Linked DNA regions of Oryctolagus cuniculus. The protein of the gene in region 1 interacts with the protein of each later gene in a biochemical or structural test. Links are inferred from orthologs where the notes say so. Each region holds a gene or a part of one and is shown on either strand. Other genes may lie near its edges.

Evidence for each region.
Region 2: the proteins of ESR1 (region 1) and PRMT2 form a complex in vitro, tested with the Homo sapiens proteins (2 studies listed by BioGRID and IntAct). The link is inferred for Oryctolagus cuniculus from reciprocal best matches to the Homo sapiens genes ESR1 and PRMT2.
Region 3: the proteins of ESR1 (region 1) and PHB2 form a complex in vitro, tested with the Homo sapiens proteins (3 studies listed by BioGRID). The link is inferred for Oryctolagus cuniculus from reciprocal best matches to the Homo sapiens genes ESR1 and PHB2.
Region 4: the proteins of ESR1 (region 1) and FOXO1 form a complex in vitro, tested with the Homo sapiens proteins (2 studies listed by BioGRID). The link is inferred for Oryctolagus cuniculus from reciprocal best matches to the Homo sapiens genes ESR1 and FOXO1.

Annotation. Positions count from the first base shown.
Region 1 is NC_091436.1:15,939,911-15,943,410, reverse strand, and holds part of ESR1 (estrogen receptor), read left to right. Parts: intron 1-276; coding exon 277-612; intron 613-3,500.
Region 2 is NC_091435.1:202,865-206,917, reverse strand, and holds the start of PRMT2 (protein arginine N-methyltransferase 2), read left to right. Parts: upstream 1-1,253; 5' UTR 1,254-1,397; intron 1,398-2,431; exon of another isoform or gene 2,432-2,745; intron 2,746-2,893; exon of another isoform or gene 2,894-2,896; 5' UTR 2,897-2,958; coding exon 2,959-2,997; intron 2,998-4,053. UniProt on the Homo sapiens protein: Arginine methyltransferase that methylates the guanidino nitrogens of arginyl residues in proteins such as STAT3, FBL, histone H4. Acts as a coactivator (with NCOA2) of the androgen receptor (AR)-mediated transactivation.
Region 3 is NC_091440.1:102,571,499-102,575,607, reverse strand, and holds the start of PHB2 (prohibitin-2), read right to left. Parts: upstream 2,801-4,109; 5' UTR 2,623-2,800; coding exon 2,496-2,622; intron 2,348-2,495; coding exon 2,263-2,347; intron 1,995-2,262; coding exon 1,915-1,994; intron 1,119-1,914; coding exon 934-1,118; intron 413-933; coding exon 283-412; intron 167-282; coding exon 63-166; exon of another isoform or gene 27-62; intron 22-26; exon of another isoform or gene 1-21. Other genes in the region: EMG1 (ribosomal RNA small subunit methyltransferase NEP1), read left to right, coding at 3,009-3,176.
Region 4 is NC_091440.1:72,837,647-72,841,886, forward strand, and holds the start of FOXO1 (forkhead box protein O1), read left to right. Parts: upstream 1-1,440; 5' UTR 1,441-1,576; coding exon 1,577-2,224; intron 2,225-4,240. UniProt on the Homo sapiens protein: Transcription factor that is the main target of insulin signaling and regulates metabolic homeostasis in response to oxidative stress.

The sequences.
Region 1 (3,500 bases):
ATGGTTCACCAAACCTGCTACTAAATTTCAGGAGTTTTCTACGCTACCTGACTCCAGAGAAGTGTCCTGAAGTTTGTTATGGTGATAATATTTACACCATGGAGACTGGCAAAAGCTACAAATCCAAACTCCTTTTTTTTTTCTTTTGGAGAGCCAGTTGTTAAACCTTAAGCATTTATTTAAGTGAAATAAAAAGATATTATCTTTGAAGTTGGTTTTTGTATAAAAGTTTCTGTGGAAAAAAAGCGAAACTAATATTTTCATTCATGTTTTCAGGTATACGGAAAGACCGAAGAGGAGGGAGAATGTTGAAACACAAGCGCCAGAGAGATGATGGGGAAGGCAGGAATGAAACAGGGCCCCCTGGAGACATGAGGGCTGCCAACCTCTGGCCAAGCCCTCTGTTGATCAAGCACACTAAGAAGAATAGCCCAGCCTTGTCTCTGACGGCCGATCAGATGGTCAGTGCCTTGTTGGAAGCTGAGCCCCCCATCATCTATTCTGAGTACGACCCTACCAGACCCTTCAGTGAGGCCTCGATGATGGGCCTACTGACCAACTTGGCAGACAGAGAGCTAGTTCACATGATCAACTGGGCAAAGAGGGTTCCAGGTAAGAAGACTAAGTTCATTTTTATTTTGATTCAACAGCTTTTCAAGGATTGGTTGTGATGGCATGGGAGAAACTGTAGGAGACAAGGAAGTAATTCCTTACTATTCCATTGATTTCAAGGCTGCATCATAATTTCTTAATATTTAATATCAGTGCACTGTGATTCTCTTAGAAATCAGAAAACAATCTTTTATAATCAAAATATAGACAGTTAAAAAGCATTACTTTGACATAATTTAAGTATTTTCAACCCAGAGTATTTGCCAAAAAGATTTAAGGTGGACCCTACATGATAAATACATTCACTATCATATGTTCACAGTTTTTCAGAAGAGTTTAACATTAAATGAGCCACAACATTTTTTAAATATTGAGAACTATTTTTCCAAAATACTTCAATTACTAATAAGCATTTTACCTTTAAAATCTTTTCTGTGGACTAAGGCAATAATGATAGGTTTATGAACTGTGCCAATTATTTATCTAACATGGTTTTTACTTAGTATTTTAGGAGAAAGGGAACTAAAATAGAAAAATCAATTAGAGTTTTATCCTAGAGAAGAGCTGGTACAAAGACACAATGGTTCAAGTGATGCTTTTGTCCTCACATTGATTTTTCTCAGAAGTGGTGTTTCTGTAAAACTTGACTGCTGTTCTTGTTGATCGGAGAGAATAACTCTAGTTATTATGGAAACAAGACTAGGAAATGACCTTCTCCACAGCCCAGTATACCCATTCAGGAATTAATAAGGATAAAACCAAGTGGGAGGAAGTTAAATCTCTTTTCTGGACTCACGGGGCAAGTGAGAGATGGATTTATATAGAGATTTGCTCATTTGATTCATTTTCATGAGTGAAACTATTGCCTTTAATTAATGGATATTTTAAGTGAACCGAAAGATATAGAGTATGGTGTTTGTACTTCAAGAGTCACTGATATGAGATAGACCAAGTGAATATATGTCTGGCCTCAGAGATTCTCACCTGTGTTTTTTATAAACCAAGATATAAGCATGCAGCCCTTTAAATGGGGGTGGGGTGGGAGACCAGGTCTGAGATCCACTTGTTGGAAGGCATCTGCATATGTGAATGGAGTGGTGGATATTGGGTTGCTTGAAAGCATGGGTAATAATGGGCAAATTTGGGTTTTCAAAGTCAGTCCAACTGGCAAACAAAAACTCCTGGTCATTTTTTGGCTTAAGAGTTTCCTCGTTCACCTACATGTTCTAGCATTCTTAACGAAGCAGATACATTAAATGCACATATTGGGATCTAAACTTAATATGGCTATAGATTTTTTTCCTTTATATTTGCTATGCTCTTGTTTTTATCCTTTGGGAGAAGAGAAACAAGCAAAGAAAAAAACTAATGGCCACATCCCTGACAGCCAAGTGTGGTTACTGTTAAGTTTTATTGTCCTGTTAGCATATATTTTTCCCTCATGAAATCTTGGCCTGCTGAATACAAGATTACATTTTTCATACTTATCAGTAGATTCCCATCCTGCTATTATTATAATTATAAAACTTTGAAGAGCATTTGAAGTAACTCAAAGTAAGTTAAAATACATTACTAGTGGATGAAAGAATTCATGACAATTATCTTCTGAATTCAGGAATAAAAGTGGAGACATAAATCAGGGAAGGAAGAAATAATAACCAGGCATAACCATCCTACTGATAAGCCCAGAACTAGACAAATTTATGGAAATAAATTCTATAGAACATCATGGCGTTCATTTAAAAGACCTGGATGATTCAAAAATCCTTGGACCAAATTACATCTTGTTATTTGTTGATTTGGATAACTATAAAGATGAAAATTCAGTTATATATATATACATGTTTGTATGTGTGTGTGTGTATGTGTGTGTGCCACTGAAATACAGCTGTTGAACATCAAAAGACTTCTTTCCTGACCAAGCAAATTAAAACTTGCCATTGATTTAAAAAAGATGAAAAATGAGGAAAGAAAAATGTTTTCTGCAAGGACTATGAAGAAGAATGTCTTCAGAACATTTGACAAAGCCACATAGATCCAAATACCCTCTGTTATTTAAACAAATAGCTTTCAATAAAATCTAATATAGACAATATTATATTTTTGTGGTAATCATTTGATAATTATAATAGCAACTTGTAGAGGAGGGAATGAAATATATCATTGGCAAGAAGAATAACAAGGAAGCCAGTTCTAAAAGTCCCTGTGATTAGCTAAATGACACAAAAACCTGCAGAGGATATTGGGATAATTCTTAGGATGACTGTGAATTGAACTGAAGTTTTGAATTAATTTAATTTTAAATGACAAAATTTAATTAACACTTTTGAGCAACCAGTATAGTAGTCATAGACCATGTTTTTTACTAACAATATTGTCAGAATTGTAAACATGATTATAAGTTGAATTTTCCTTTCTCTTGATGTTTGCAAGTTATGTCTTTACTTGATATTTCTCTTTCCTAAGAATTTAGATATGGAGAGCATAATACAATCATAAAACATAATCATTCATAATACCATCACATTATGATAGACAAGCTCCTCTGTAAAGTACATGTGTAAGATCTGAACAAAGACAGAAGTAAGAACTTATTTTTTTCCTTTTGTGATTTATAAACCACAGAGGCAACAAGAAACATAAAATTTACTCAGCCAGCTCCGAGAAGGATTTTTAAGTAGCCTGTGTTGTATATTTACTCCTTGATATTTAGTTGTAGAGAAGGCTTTTCTCTTTTCAGTTTGCTTTGAAATCTATGTGTATTGGCATTTTATAATCTGTGGTTGGAGATTTAGTATTAAGCAATCAAGTTATGAAATCTTAATTTATTATTATCTTACACATAGTGAATCTAGTGAGTAAATGTTAACTCATTTAACTGAGGCTCA
Region 2 (4,053 bases), on another chromosome or scaffold:
GAATTCCATCTGGGTGTCTCACGTGGTTGGCAGGAGCCCAATCACTTGGGCCAGCTTTTGCTGCTTTTCTAGTGCATTAGCAGGGAACTGGATCGCAGGTTGAGCAGCTAGCACTCAAAAGAGCACTGCACTCATATGCGATGTCTGCATTGCAGGAGGTGGCGTAACTGGCTGGGGCACAATGCCCACCCCAAGCCTGGACTTCACTCCTGGACTTCTCATTGAGAACTGCTTTTCTCGCCCTGACTGACAGGTTTTGGCTTAGCACGAGCCTCCTGAGGGAGAAGGCTGGTGCGATTTCACTCTACCACGCAGGTCAAGACCTGCCTGTTTGCTCTTCTCATTTCCAATCCATCATGCCAGCCCACAAGCATCAGAAGCCCCTGTGGACCCCCTGCCAGGGCCGTGCCTGTGTGCTGCTGATGCAGACCATTAGGTGTGCGTCTGCCTCAGCAGGTGCGCTGGGAGGGGCTGGTATTTTAGGTTGTTGTGTAGATTATGGGAGGCTGCCCTGCACTAGACCCAAAAGACCAAACCATTATGGACTCACTGATGCCCCAAGTCCAAGTCACCAAGCTGAAAGCAGAATGTTTATCTGACTTCTGAGAGCACAGAGGCAGGGAGGGAGAGGCCACATTCCCAGACAGGCCAGATGTGGCAGGAAAGTAACTTGGAAATTCCTCTTTTGTCTGTTTCTGCTCTCCTCAGCCCTCTGTCTATTAAACTAACATCTGCTCAGCTCACTAGAACGCTCATTTAGAACAGGGTGTTGACTGAATCTAGAATTGCACACAAAACCCAATCAGACCTTCAAGTTGAATGTTTTTTATACATTCGTCTCACCCTGTGCGACCACACAGCTCTGGGGCCGCTCTCCCAGCTGGGGCAGGGACGGCAGTCCGCCTTCCGGTAACCCCGGGCTTCTGGCGGGGGAAACCCTACTTGACCGCGGCGCTCCCGGCGTCCAGACCCGGTCCACACGGACAACGGAAGGTCCCTGAATTACCACAAGAAAACCCCAATCGGGGTCTTGGGCCAGCAACACGCTGCCCACAGCTGCCGCGCACCGCGTCCGACCCCCAGCCCTCCGCCCCCGTCTACGTACCCGCGCCCGTTCCCGGCGTCCGACTCCCGCCCCGGCCGGCTGTGGGCACGGGAGCCGGTTCCTCACACGGGCTGACGACGCAACTCGGCTCTACCCCGCAGAAGGCGTAGCCTGTGGAGTGCGCCTGCGCGGTAGGATGGCCCCGCCTCGGGGCGGGGCCTCCCCTGGGCGCGGCTCGTGCGCACTGCGCCTGCGCAGGCCGAGGGCGGTGGCTCTGGCTCCCGGTGGGGAACCGTCAGCCCCTACGTGCTGGTGGCGTGGATGTGCAACTCGGCGGGGAGAAGCGACTGAGGTAGGTGTCCTGGTGGACCCAGCGTAGGAGGCTGGGCTGCACTTGAGGCAGGACTTGTAGGGTGAGGGGGTCCTCGCCCCCCGTGTGCGTCGCTGGCCGACTGAAGCCTCCGTCTCCTCCTGGGACCCCCGAGCGCCCTCCCGGTTCCTCGGCTCTGCGCTGTAGCGGCTGTCCGCGAGCTCCGCGCCTGCCCCACCCCGTTGCCCCGCCCCTCTCCGACGCCCCGCCTTTTCCCTACGCGGCACCACGCCCACCGGAGGCCCCGCCCCTCTCCGGGGCCCCGCCCCTCTCCTGCGCCACGCCTACCAGCGGCCCCGCCCCTCTTCGGGGCCCCACCCTGGCCGAGCTACGCCCCTCGCGGCGCCACGCCCCCTCGGCCCGGGCCAGCCGCGCCGCTCCCGGGTCTCCCTCCCTCCCTCCCGTCAGGTCTCTTCCAGAGCTCCGCCCTAGCCACGTCCCTCCCCGCAGGCACGCCCCTCCCGGCGCACGCCCCTCCCCGCAGGCACGCCCCTCATGGCGCACGCCCCTCCCGCAGGCACGCCCCTCCCGGCGCACGCCCCCTCGGCCCGGGCCGGCCGCGCCGCTCCCGGGTCTCCCTCCCTCCCTCCCGTCAGGTCTCTCCCAGAGCTCCGCCCTAGCCACGCCCCTCCCTCAGGCACGCCCCTCCCTCAGGCACGCCCCTCGCGGCGCCACGCCCCCTCGGCCCGGGCCGGCCGCGCCGCTCCCGGGGCTCCCTCCCTCCCTCCCATCAGGTCTCTCCCAGAGCTCCGCCCTAGCCACGCCCCTCCCTCAGGCACGCCCCTCGCGGCGCCACGCCCCCTCGGCCCGGGCCAGCCGCGCCGCTCCCGGGGCTCCCTCCCTCCCTCCCGTCAGGTCTCTCCCAGAGCTCCGCCCTAGCCACGCCCCTCCCCGCAGGCACGCCCCTCCCGGCGCACGCCCCTCCCGGCGCACGCCCCTCCCCGCAGGCACGCCCCTCGCGGCGCCACGCCCCCTCGGCCCGGGCCGGCCGCGCCGCTCCCGGGGCTCCCTCCCTCCCTCCCGTCAGGTCTCTCCCAGAGCTGCCTCGGCCCCGGCGTCAGATCCGGGCCGCACCCTCGCGCCGTCGTAGGTGGGCCCAGGTTTCCAGCGGAGTTAGTAGTTACGGTTCCAGGAATCACGAGAGTAGGGTCAGGCCTGTTTGTAGGCGAGGCGTGCGTTCTATAGGAGTGTGGCGCTGGCAGGCGCGGGGGAGCTGAGGAGAGGCGGGGGGCTCCGTCCCAGGGCGACCCCAGGAGCGCCCGGGCCAGCCCGGGACGCGCGTGTGCCTGTGCCGCTTGTGGTGCTTTCGATGGGCCTTGTAGAACTGAGGGTGAGTTTCATCTCCACACCGCGGCGCACGCGTAGGTTGGTTTCACTTGGGTCGGGGACCTTTCTAGTGTGCCTCAGAAGTTAAATGGATTTGATTGTCAAGCGGTGTAACAGCCCTCTCCCCCTCTCCCCCTCCCTCTCTCTCTCAGTAGAAACGAGGAGGAGAAAATGAAATAATAAAGGCAGCAGGTATGAGGCAGAGCCCGAGGGAACTATGGCCACGTCAGGTGACTGCCCCGGGAGTGAGTCTCAGGTAATTTTGTCTGCAGTGTAAGAACTCGTGCCCAACGAGCGTGAATGTGACAGAAACAAGTGTCAGCTCACAAGCCAGGAGCGTCACTTGTGTCCTTGAAGGTGGCCCCCACAGCGGGCTGCTTCCGTTGAAAGAGCGTTGAGGTACAGGGTTGCAGATGGCGTTCCCGTGCTGGTGCTGGAAACATGTCTAGGGAGTACTTCCGGTGGTCAGAACACGGGGTCCTCTGCACACCTGCATCCAGCGTGGGAGTGCCTGGCTTCAGGTGCTGGCTTGGCTCCTGATGCCAGCTTTCTGCTGTGGTGCACCCTGGGAGGCAGCAGGTGATGGCTCAAATAGCGGGATATCTGCCACCCTCATGGGAGACCCAGATTGAATTCCTGGCTCCTGTCTTTGCCTGGTCCAAAGCCCTGCTGTTGTGGGCATTTGGAGAATGAACCAGCACATGAGCTTGCTCTCGCTCTCTCTCTCTGTCTCTCTCTACCTTTTAAATAAATAAAATTAAGCACTTAGTAAAAAACAAAAAAAGAAACTGCACACAAAAATATCAGTCACCTAGGACTCAGTTTTGGTGCCTGAACTAGTGAAACTAGCATGCTTTCCTAGCTATTTGATGACACCCAAGTATAATACCAGCCAATTAGAAGAGATACATGTATGCACACTGTTTTCTGCCTGGGCTACACACATAATTTCATTCAAGCTAGCAGTAAAAAAAAGAAAAAAAAAACACGTTAAATTTTAAGGAATGTTGGTTATGTAAAATAAACTAATATTCTAATAGATGTTTTAAAAAATCAAACATTTTGAGCCGGCGCCGTGGCTCAATAGGCTAATCCTCCACCTTGCGGCGCCGGCACACCGGGTTCTAGTCCTGGTTGGGGCGCCGGATTCTGTCCCGGTTGCCCCTCTTCCAGGCCAGCTCTCTGCTATGGCCAGGGAGTGCAGTGGAGGATGGCCCAGGTGCTTGAGCCCTGCACCCCATGGGAGACCAGGAAAAGCACCTGGCTCCTGGCTCCTGCCATCGGATCAGCGCGGTGCACCGGCTGCAGCGGC
Region 3 (4,109 bases), on another chromosome or scaffold:
CGCCTTAGTCTCATCAGCCGGCCCACAGGGGAGAGGAGTGGAGCTCTCTGGCAGAAGGATATCATCTTGGCGGCCTCAGCCTCGCCCTCGGCCTGCACAATCTTCTGGCGCTGTTCCTGTTTTGCTTTTTCCACCAAGAACTGGGCCCGCTGGGCCTCTTGCTGGGCTACAGGGTGGGAGAGGCGGAGGGAACAGTCAACAGATGTGAAGGTCAGGGGCCTGATCCAGAGTCCGTTCTTCCACATTCTCAGACGCCCGCGCCCTCCTCCCCTTGCAACTCACCCACTTGCTTGGCTTCCACGGCAGCTGTGTACTCTCGGCTGAAGCTCAGCTCCGTGATGGCCACATCATCCAGGATGAGGCTGAAGTCCTTGGCCCGCTCCGTCAGCTCCCGCCGGATCAACAGGGACACCTGGGGGCAGGGGTGAGGAGGGGAGGGCAGGGCCGGTTTGTGGGAATTGGAGAACTGAAAGGAAGGTTGTGTTGCTATGACCACCTGAACACAGATCACGTAAGTGTGGCCATCAGCTCACCCAGCCTCTCTTGGTTCCTCAACAGAACATCTTCGCATTTGATGGGGTGGGGAGTTGGGGGGGGGGAGGGAGGCACAGCCTCGGAGGTGGGACAGCCACCCCAGGCTAGCAGGTCCTCCAACTGTCTCCGCTACTTAGCTTCCTGTCGGGCCGACCCGTGACACAAGCCCCTGTGCCGAAAGAGGCACCGGAGAAGCCTAGGTTTTCCCTTCGCTCCCTCCCCAAGTGCCCTCGAGCTCTGGTGCTGGTTTTTCTCATTTCTCGCGTGGCCATCAGTTCAGCTTTTAGTGGAAGTGGAACGGCAGCTATGGCCCTTTTCTAAGAAGCTGCCTTTTCAGGACATTTAGTTCTCTGGGTCTAGCAGGGCAATGACACCGCGCAGACGGTGAGGGGGGCCGACCTGGGCTCGCTGCGTGATCAGCTGCGAGGCATTGAATTTGGCCACCACGCTCTTGAGCACCTCGTTGACGATGGACGGCAACACTCGCTCCTCGTAGTCCAGCCCGAGGCGCTGGTACATGCTGGGCAGCTCCTGGGCATTGGGTCGAGACAGCACTCGCAGGGAGATGTTCACCATCTGCAGGTCTGAGAGTGAGGTCAGCAGTGGATGGCCAAGGACGAGTGTCCTTCCCTGAGCCCTTTCTCTTCCTAGGCCCAGAACAATGACACGCAGCCTGCTGCCCCCCTTGGGGAAGGGGTGCAATCAGGCCAACAGGGAACACAGACACAGCATGTGTGCCCACACACGAGGGCATCTGGGGAGCCAAAGGCAGCGCCGACTCCTCTTCTGCCATTGTATTCATGCACCCTCTAATGCAGGCCCTGTCATCTGGCTCTTCTACTAGACAGTGAAATCCTTTACTCCCAGGATTTATCCAATGAAGAATGGACCTGTGCTAAAATCAGTACAGGGCACATTACAGGCTACAGGTATGCTACTCGCCTAAGTGTGTACACATCTGTGTGTGTGTAGGTGGGATGAAAAGGCGGCCAAGCAATCTCAAAGGAAAGGCTTCTAGGAAGAGGAGCAGGTGCAGGAGTGGGGAGAAATTTCTCCAGGACACAGGGTACTCATGGATGAGCTACTGAGTCAAGCAAGAGAGAAAAAAGGCTTTCAAATAAAGCTTTGATCTTGGGAGTAAGACAAAGGCCTGGCAGCGCTCTCCTGAGTTAGTGGAGGGAGGTGCCAAGAATAAAAATATGCAAACACACTGTATCTGGACCGTGTTGGCCCTGGGAGGCAGGTGGTTCTGTTAGAGCTGTTTCTGCAGAGGTGGAACCCAAGGTCATAGGGACCTCCCCAAGGGTCTCTAGTTGGGCTCCCTTATTCAATTTTTAGGGGGTCCAATCTGCCACGTGACTCTCAAGCACCCAGACCTACCTTTGGAGCCTGTGGGGGAGGAGATTTTCCGAGGCCTGGCCCGAATGTCATAGATAATGGGGTACTGAAACCAGGGGATCCTGGCGGGAAGAGACGGGAACAGGTGTTAGGAGACTGCGGCTTCCCAGCATTGCCTGGCTTCCTCTCGCCACGCGGTCTTTGGCCTGCCCCTCCCCGCAGTGACCACAGACAAGGGGCGAACAACAGGTCATGTGTTGATCCAACTTCGGGCAGCACGCGGCTGAGGCGGGGAAAGCGCAGCGCCGACTCCCATTCCAAGTCCGACCACAGCCAGCGGTGGGTCGGCGACTGGGAGCTTCGGGGTCCTTGTGCTCCACCCTCCATTACCTGAAGTGCAGGCCCTCGGCCAGGATGGTGTCCTGCTGCACGCCCCCGATCCGGTTAAAGAAGATGGCCCTGTGCCCGCCTTCCACTGTGGGGAGAGGAGTGAGGGTCAGGCCAGTGCGCTGCTCGGAGAACGTGCTGGGCTGAGGGCGGGGGGAGTGAGGGGCTCGCGGAACGCGGGAGCTGGCGACGCAGGCCGGGGGTCTGGGGTCCGGCTAGCGGTGGAGGTTGCTCACCGGTGAACACCGACTCGCGGACGCCGTAGGCCACGGCGCCGGCCCCCAGCAGCAGTTTCAGCGCCGTGCCCATGCCCCGAGGCCCGGCGGGCAGCCGTCCTGCTAAGTCCTTCAAGTTTTGGGCCATGTCTGGTCCGGAGGCCGGCGGCACCGGAGGTCAGAGCTGGGGCGGCGGCCCGCCTCGACCCCACTCGTTCAGAGATCACACCCACACACGAGGGTTCGAGGCCGTGCTGCTCCCGGGAGAAAGGGCACCGGAAGTGCGCTCCTCTCTAAACCCGCCCCCTGCGCGCAAGGAGGACCCAAACTTCGCGCACAGACGCGCGCACCCGGAAGTCCCGCCCCCTTCTGGAACCCTGCCCTCCCGGGGAGGCGTCGCTAGCGCGAGACGGCAAAGCGTCGCCATTTTCCAGCGCCCACTTTCAAAATGGCAGGCGGAAGGAAGTTTGCCATTTGGACGAACGCGGGGTCCTCAGTTAAGGACGCCGGCGCAATTTCCGGCCCGGTGGCAAGATGGCTGCCCCCAATGGTGAATTCCAGCCTCGTGAGTGGCGCTCTGGGGAGCGGGAAGAGGACTGGGATGCTGCGGCGCCCAAGCGGCCTCGACTCGGGGCAGGAAGCAAGAGCGGAGGCCGCAGGCTCATTGTGGTGCTGGAAGGGGCCAGTCTGGAGACAGTCAAGGTAGTTTGGGAGACGAAGTGGCGAAGTAGGCGTTTTATATGGGCTTTGGGATGACGCCGAGGGGCTCGAAGTGGACGGAGAACGCATGCTTTTGGATGAAGGGGGCCTAGCTGCTGTCTCTTGGCTTGACATCCCGGGTGGACTATTCATTTTCTTTTCCCTTTTTCGAATCCTGTTCCAGCCCGCGTCTCCTTGCCTCTAGTTGCTGTACCAGGCTCCTGTGTTACAAAATCTTTTAAGGGGAGAAGCGTTTCGTTCATGCGTCAGCCCACCTCTTATTCCTAAGGGCTCTGTGTTGCAGTGCGTTAAGGTGCCCACTGTCACCGCCTCTCGGTAGTACGAGCCAGTACTTGTATGTCTTCATTTTTGCTTCTCATCCGTCTCTTCCCATACAGTAAAACCGTCAGCTTCCTGTTATGAAATGCCATCATTCCCTCTGGTTTTCTTACTCTTTTAGAACTTGTTCAAGGAGTAGGCCAGAAGAAATAGCATTGCTTGAGAAGTCTTACCTGAATTTTAATCTTGGTTCTGTCACTGATGCTAAGTGTGATTTTGAGAAGATAAATTCGTCCTCCGTTTGTAAAATGAGGATAATACGTTAACGTAGAACTGTTATGAAAGTCCTTTAATCTAAGGTGAGATGCTTTTGCATCTGTTCTCTCTTAACCACGGTGACACTTTATTAAGCTTGCAGTCTAGGAAACCTGCTTTTTTTTTCTAATGTACTTCATATTTGCAACCTCATTATAGGTTCTCCTCGTCATCTTCAGTAATTGTCTTTCTTTCCAGTGTATTAACTCTGCATATTAATTTTGGCATTTGTCATGTCAGGTATTGCATATAGCGAATTTGCAAATGTACCAAGCATGTCAGTCTCAGCAGAGCAGACGGGTTGAGAATGTGGACCTGCCCTGGGCTGCCTGGTTTAGATCT
Region 4 (4,240 bases), on another chromosome or scaffold:
AGGACGTCCCGGACCTGGAGCCCAGATGGAGCAAGGTGGGGAGGTGGGGTGGGAGTGACTGATGGACGCAGCGGGCAGCCCCACAACCTGGGGGTGGGGCAGCGCTGTGGTCAAGGCTTCGGTCTCAGCCCCTCTCGCGTTTTTACTCAACACTTCATCACTTCTAAATAAAAAAGGAAGTAAGCCAACTGTTACACTTAATTACGGGCAAGGAATAAATGGACAAAGTGCTCGCGAACTTGCTCTGCCGACCCTTCGCCGCGGCCACCGCTGGCCCGGTGGACAGTGCAAGGCTGGCGCGCTAGGGCAGAGTGTCCCAGAGGATAGGAGACCCAGGGACCCTGTGCTTGCCCAGCCCTTTCCCTCATTTCTGCCCTTTTAGGTCAACAATGGCAGAATTCGGGCCGGACGACCAGCCCCGGGGGCGGCGCGCGCAGGTGGGTTCCGGCGCGGGGGCGGCGCGGCTGGCGTCCCGTGCCGGCAGGGACCCGACCACAAGGCCCACGGTCTCCCGGGGTGGGGACGGGGAGGCGTGTGCGGCCCGAGCGGGGGCAGGAGGACTTGACCGAGCGCAGCGAAAGAAAACGCTGCACGAAAACAAACCCTGCCGACTTCCCCGCACCGCGCCGCGCGGACCGCGTGGGTGGAGCGGAGAGGGGGCGACCGAGTGGAATTCCGCGCGGCCGCCTCCACCCCGCCCCGCCCCGCGCCCTGCCCTGCCCTGCCCTGGTCTGGGCGCCGAGCGGAGGTCGGGGCCACGGCAGCCGCTCGTTCCGCTCGGGCTTCGCCAGTCCACGGCTCGGCTCCCCCGTAGTAAACAAAGTGTCGCCGCCGCCTCCACGTTGGTTTGCCTCTCAGCAGTCAAAACAGTAAGAGGGCGAGAGACTCGCAGAAATACTCGAGAATTACCAGAAAATAATCACAAAAAGAGAGAGAACGTGCGTGTGCGCCAACGAGAAAAACACCCCACTACCCCCCTACCAACCCACAGCCGCCTCCTCGTGGAAAACCGGGCCCCTCCCCAGCCCTCTCCCACTGGCTGCTTGGGCGGCGGTGCCGCGCGCCCATTGGCTGCGCGGGCTGTCAATCGGGGGCGGGCCGGCGCGCGCGCCGCCGCGGGCGGGGGGCGGTGGCAGATCCCGTAAGTCGGGCAGCCGCGTAGTTGCTGCTGCCGCCGCCGCCGCCGCCGCCGCCTCCAGCGCATTCAACAGGCAGCTGCGCCGCGCTCGCGCCGCCGGCGAGAGCGAGCGGCCCGCGGTGTCCGTCCGTCCGTCCGTCCGTCCGTGGCCCTGTCAGCAGGAGCGCGGCCCTGGAGCTGCCCGGCTCTGGCCAGCCGTCCTGGTGGTGCAGCGAACCCGGAGCAGCCTTGGATGTTGATGGACCCACGAAGTTAAGTTCTGGGCTCGCGCGGCTACTCCGCTGCTCCTTCCTCCCGGTTTCCGTCAGCTCGCGGCACTGACTTCGTCCTCCCCCCATCCCCCCAGGATCTCGGGCCAGCCTTTGCGCCCCCTCCGCTCCGCGCTGCGCTCCCCCCCTTCTCGGCTCTCCGGCGGCTGGGGGAGGGGCGGGGGTCACCATGGCCGAAGCGCCTCAGGTGGTGGAGATCGACCCGGACTTCGAGCCGCTGCCCCGGCCGCGCTCGTGCACCTGGCCGCTGCCCAGGCCGGAGTTTAGCCAGTCCAACTCGGCCACCTCCAGCCCGGCGCCGTCGGGCGGCGCGGCCGCCAACCCCGACGCCGCGGCGGGCCTGCCCCCAGCCTCGGCGGCCGCTGTCAACGCCGACTTCATGAGCAACCTGAGCCTGCTGGAGGAGAGCGAGGACTTCCCGCAGGCGCCCGGCTCCGTGGCGGCGGCCGCAGCGGCGGCGGCGGCGGTGGCGGCGGCCGCGGCGGCTGCCACCGGGGGACTGTGCGGGGACTTCCAGGGCGCAGAGGCGGCGGGCTGCCTGCACCCGGCGCCGCCGCAGCCCCCGGCGCCCGGGCCACTGTCACAGCACCCGCCTGTACCCCCCGCGGCTGCTGGGCCGCTCGCTGGGCAGCCGCGCAAGAGCAGCTCGTCCCGCCGCAACGCGTGGGGCAACCTGTCCTACGCCGACCTCATCACCAAGGCCATCGAGAGCTCGGCCGAGAAGCGGCTCACGCTGTCTCAGATCTACGAGTGGATGGTCAAGAGCGTGCCCTACTTCAAGGATAAGGGCGATAGCAACAGCTCGGCGGGCTGGAAGGTGAGCGGCCGGACCGGGGCGCGGTGGGGCAGGTGCGGGGGTGGCTGGGCGGGTCGCGCGGGCGGCCGAGGGCGGGTGGGAAGTGGCAGGTGCGGGGGCTTGCCCGGGCGGAGGGGAGGCGCGCGCGCGCCGCAGAGTTGCGGTGGGACAGGCACAGGGGCGTGTTGGGGGGGAACTGAGGCGTGAAGAAAGTGCGTCAGGAACTGGGCGTCAGAGCGGGCAGGAAAGTTTGCCAGTCAGAGAGAGAAGGTTTCACGCGGAGCGGCTGCCCCTTTTGCCTCCCGGACCTCCGGCGGGGAGGGCGGCTCCTCTCCGCCCTCGCAGCGCGGGGCCGTTTCCGCCGCGCCGAGCGGTGGAGGGGGCGGCGAGGGGGGCACCCAAACCCGGGGGGCACGGCTGCAGGTGGAGGGGACAGCCTTGGGACGGTGCGGGGTCGGCCGCGCCACTTCTGGAGGCCGATGCGCTTTTGGCTTTGTTTTGGTTTTATCCCGGGTGGCCTCGGGTGCTGGGGTCCAGGCGCGCCGAGCCCGAGGGAGCGCCTCCGACACGTGCGAAGGGGCGGCCACCGCCTGCGGAGCGCCGGCGCCCGGCCGCGCGGGGCGAGCTAAGTTCAAGTGTGACCCTCGGCGGGGGCGGGCGCCGGCGGCGGCTGGGGAGGGGCCGCGGGCGCAGGAAGCGAGCGCCTTTAAAGGGCCAGCGCGGCGGGCCGGCCCCGGTCCACGCAGGGAAGCGCCCCAAACATGGGCTTGGCCACGGTGTGAGGCTAATAATTAGAAACACGGAGGCAGGCCAGGGTGGGTGTGTGTGTGCGCGCCCGCGCGCCTTTTCTTGGCCTCGCCACCTCAGTGTTATGAAGCGCTGGTGCGCCGGTGAGGGCCGACGCAGGGGGTTTTGTGACCCTTGCGGCCGGGGAAGTCGCAGAGGAGGTGCGCGTCCGGGCCACGGCAGGACATCCTGAGCGAGGCTGGCAAAGACTCGGGTGGGGGGTGGCTGGCGCATCCCTTCCCCGCCTTGAAGGCCGCGGGAGGACGCGCTCGGCGCGGGCCCCCGAAAGCCGACAGTTTCTCACGGTTTTGGATGTGAAAAGACTCGCTGCTTGAATCAGACCCCTTTCTCGCCTCGCCTGGCCCCTTAGCGTGACTGTACGGCGTAACACGGAGTGGTCTTCCCCGCGCGAGCGTTACAGCGACTGGCTCACATACCCTGTCGGTTCTGTGGTTAATGTGTCAGAAAGGTCAGCTTCCTCACATCTTATTGAGGTTCCTTGGAGAAGGAGTCAGGACTTTATTTTTCCTAACAGTGTTTAAGAGTAAAAGTATCACTTATAACCTCATTAGTAGGCATTACGTGCAGTTTTGCCAAGTGGTTCGTAAAAGTAAAGTGCCTTCTTGCTGTAGGCTCCTTGTATCTTGTGTTCTCAGTCACAAAATGAAGATTGTCAAATCCAATTTCACTTAGTATTGGAATTTAAGTACTTGACTGATTTGCTCATCTATCAATTCTATTTAAGCTATTAAAAAGCATTTGCAATTAAATTTTTTTTTTGACATTCAGAGTACTGTGTGTACTTAGCCATTCTTTCACGTCCTTGGAAATGGATACAACTTACTTCAACTTGCTGGAGTAGCTTTCTTTAAAGATAAGGGCAGTGTTTCAGGATATTTTTAGTTTGCCTCTCAAGGCATTGTCAAGGTATTCTGACACTAGGAATATAACTTAGAACTTTTTAAGGCTTAGACTTTATATGTATGTAAACTCTAAGGTCATATCACCCCCTTAACCATTTTCTTAAGTTCTTGTTTTAACATTTTTTTTTTAAAGATGCAGGTATAATTTTGTATTTTAAAATTGTCTTTAGGAGAGCTATTAAGTGCTGAGTAGGGACCATGTGCTGAGTGGCAGCTCCCAGAGGGAACTCCGAGCCTGGCCTTGGGAGGGAGTAGTCTGTGTTTGTCAGATGAGTAGATGTTTCAGGAGTAATGAAGAATCAGTTGGTGCAAGTCAGATTCCAGCAAG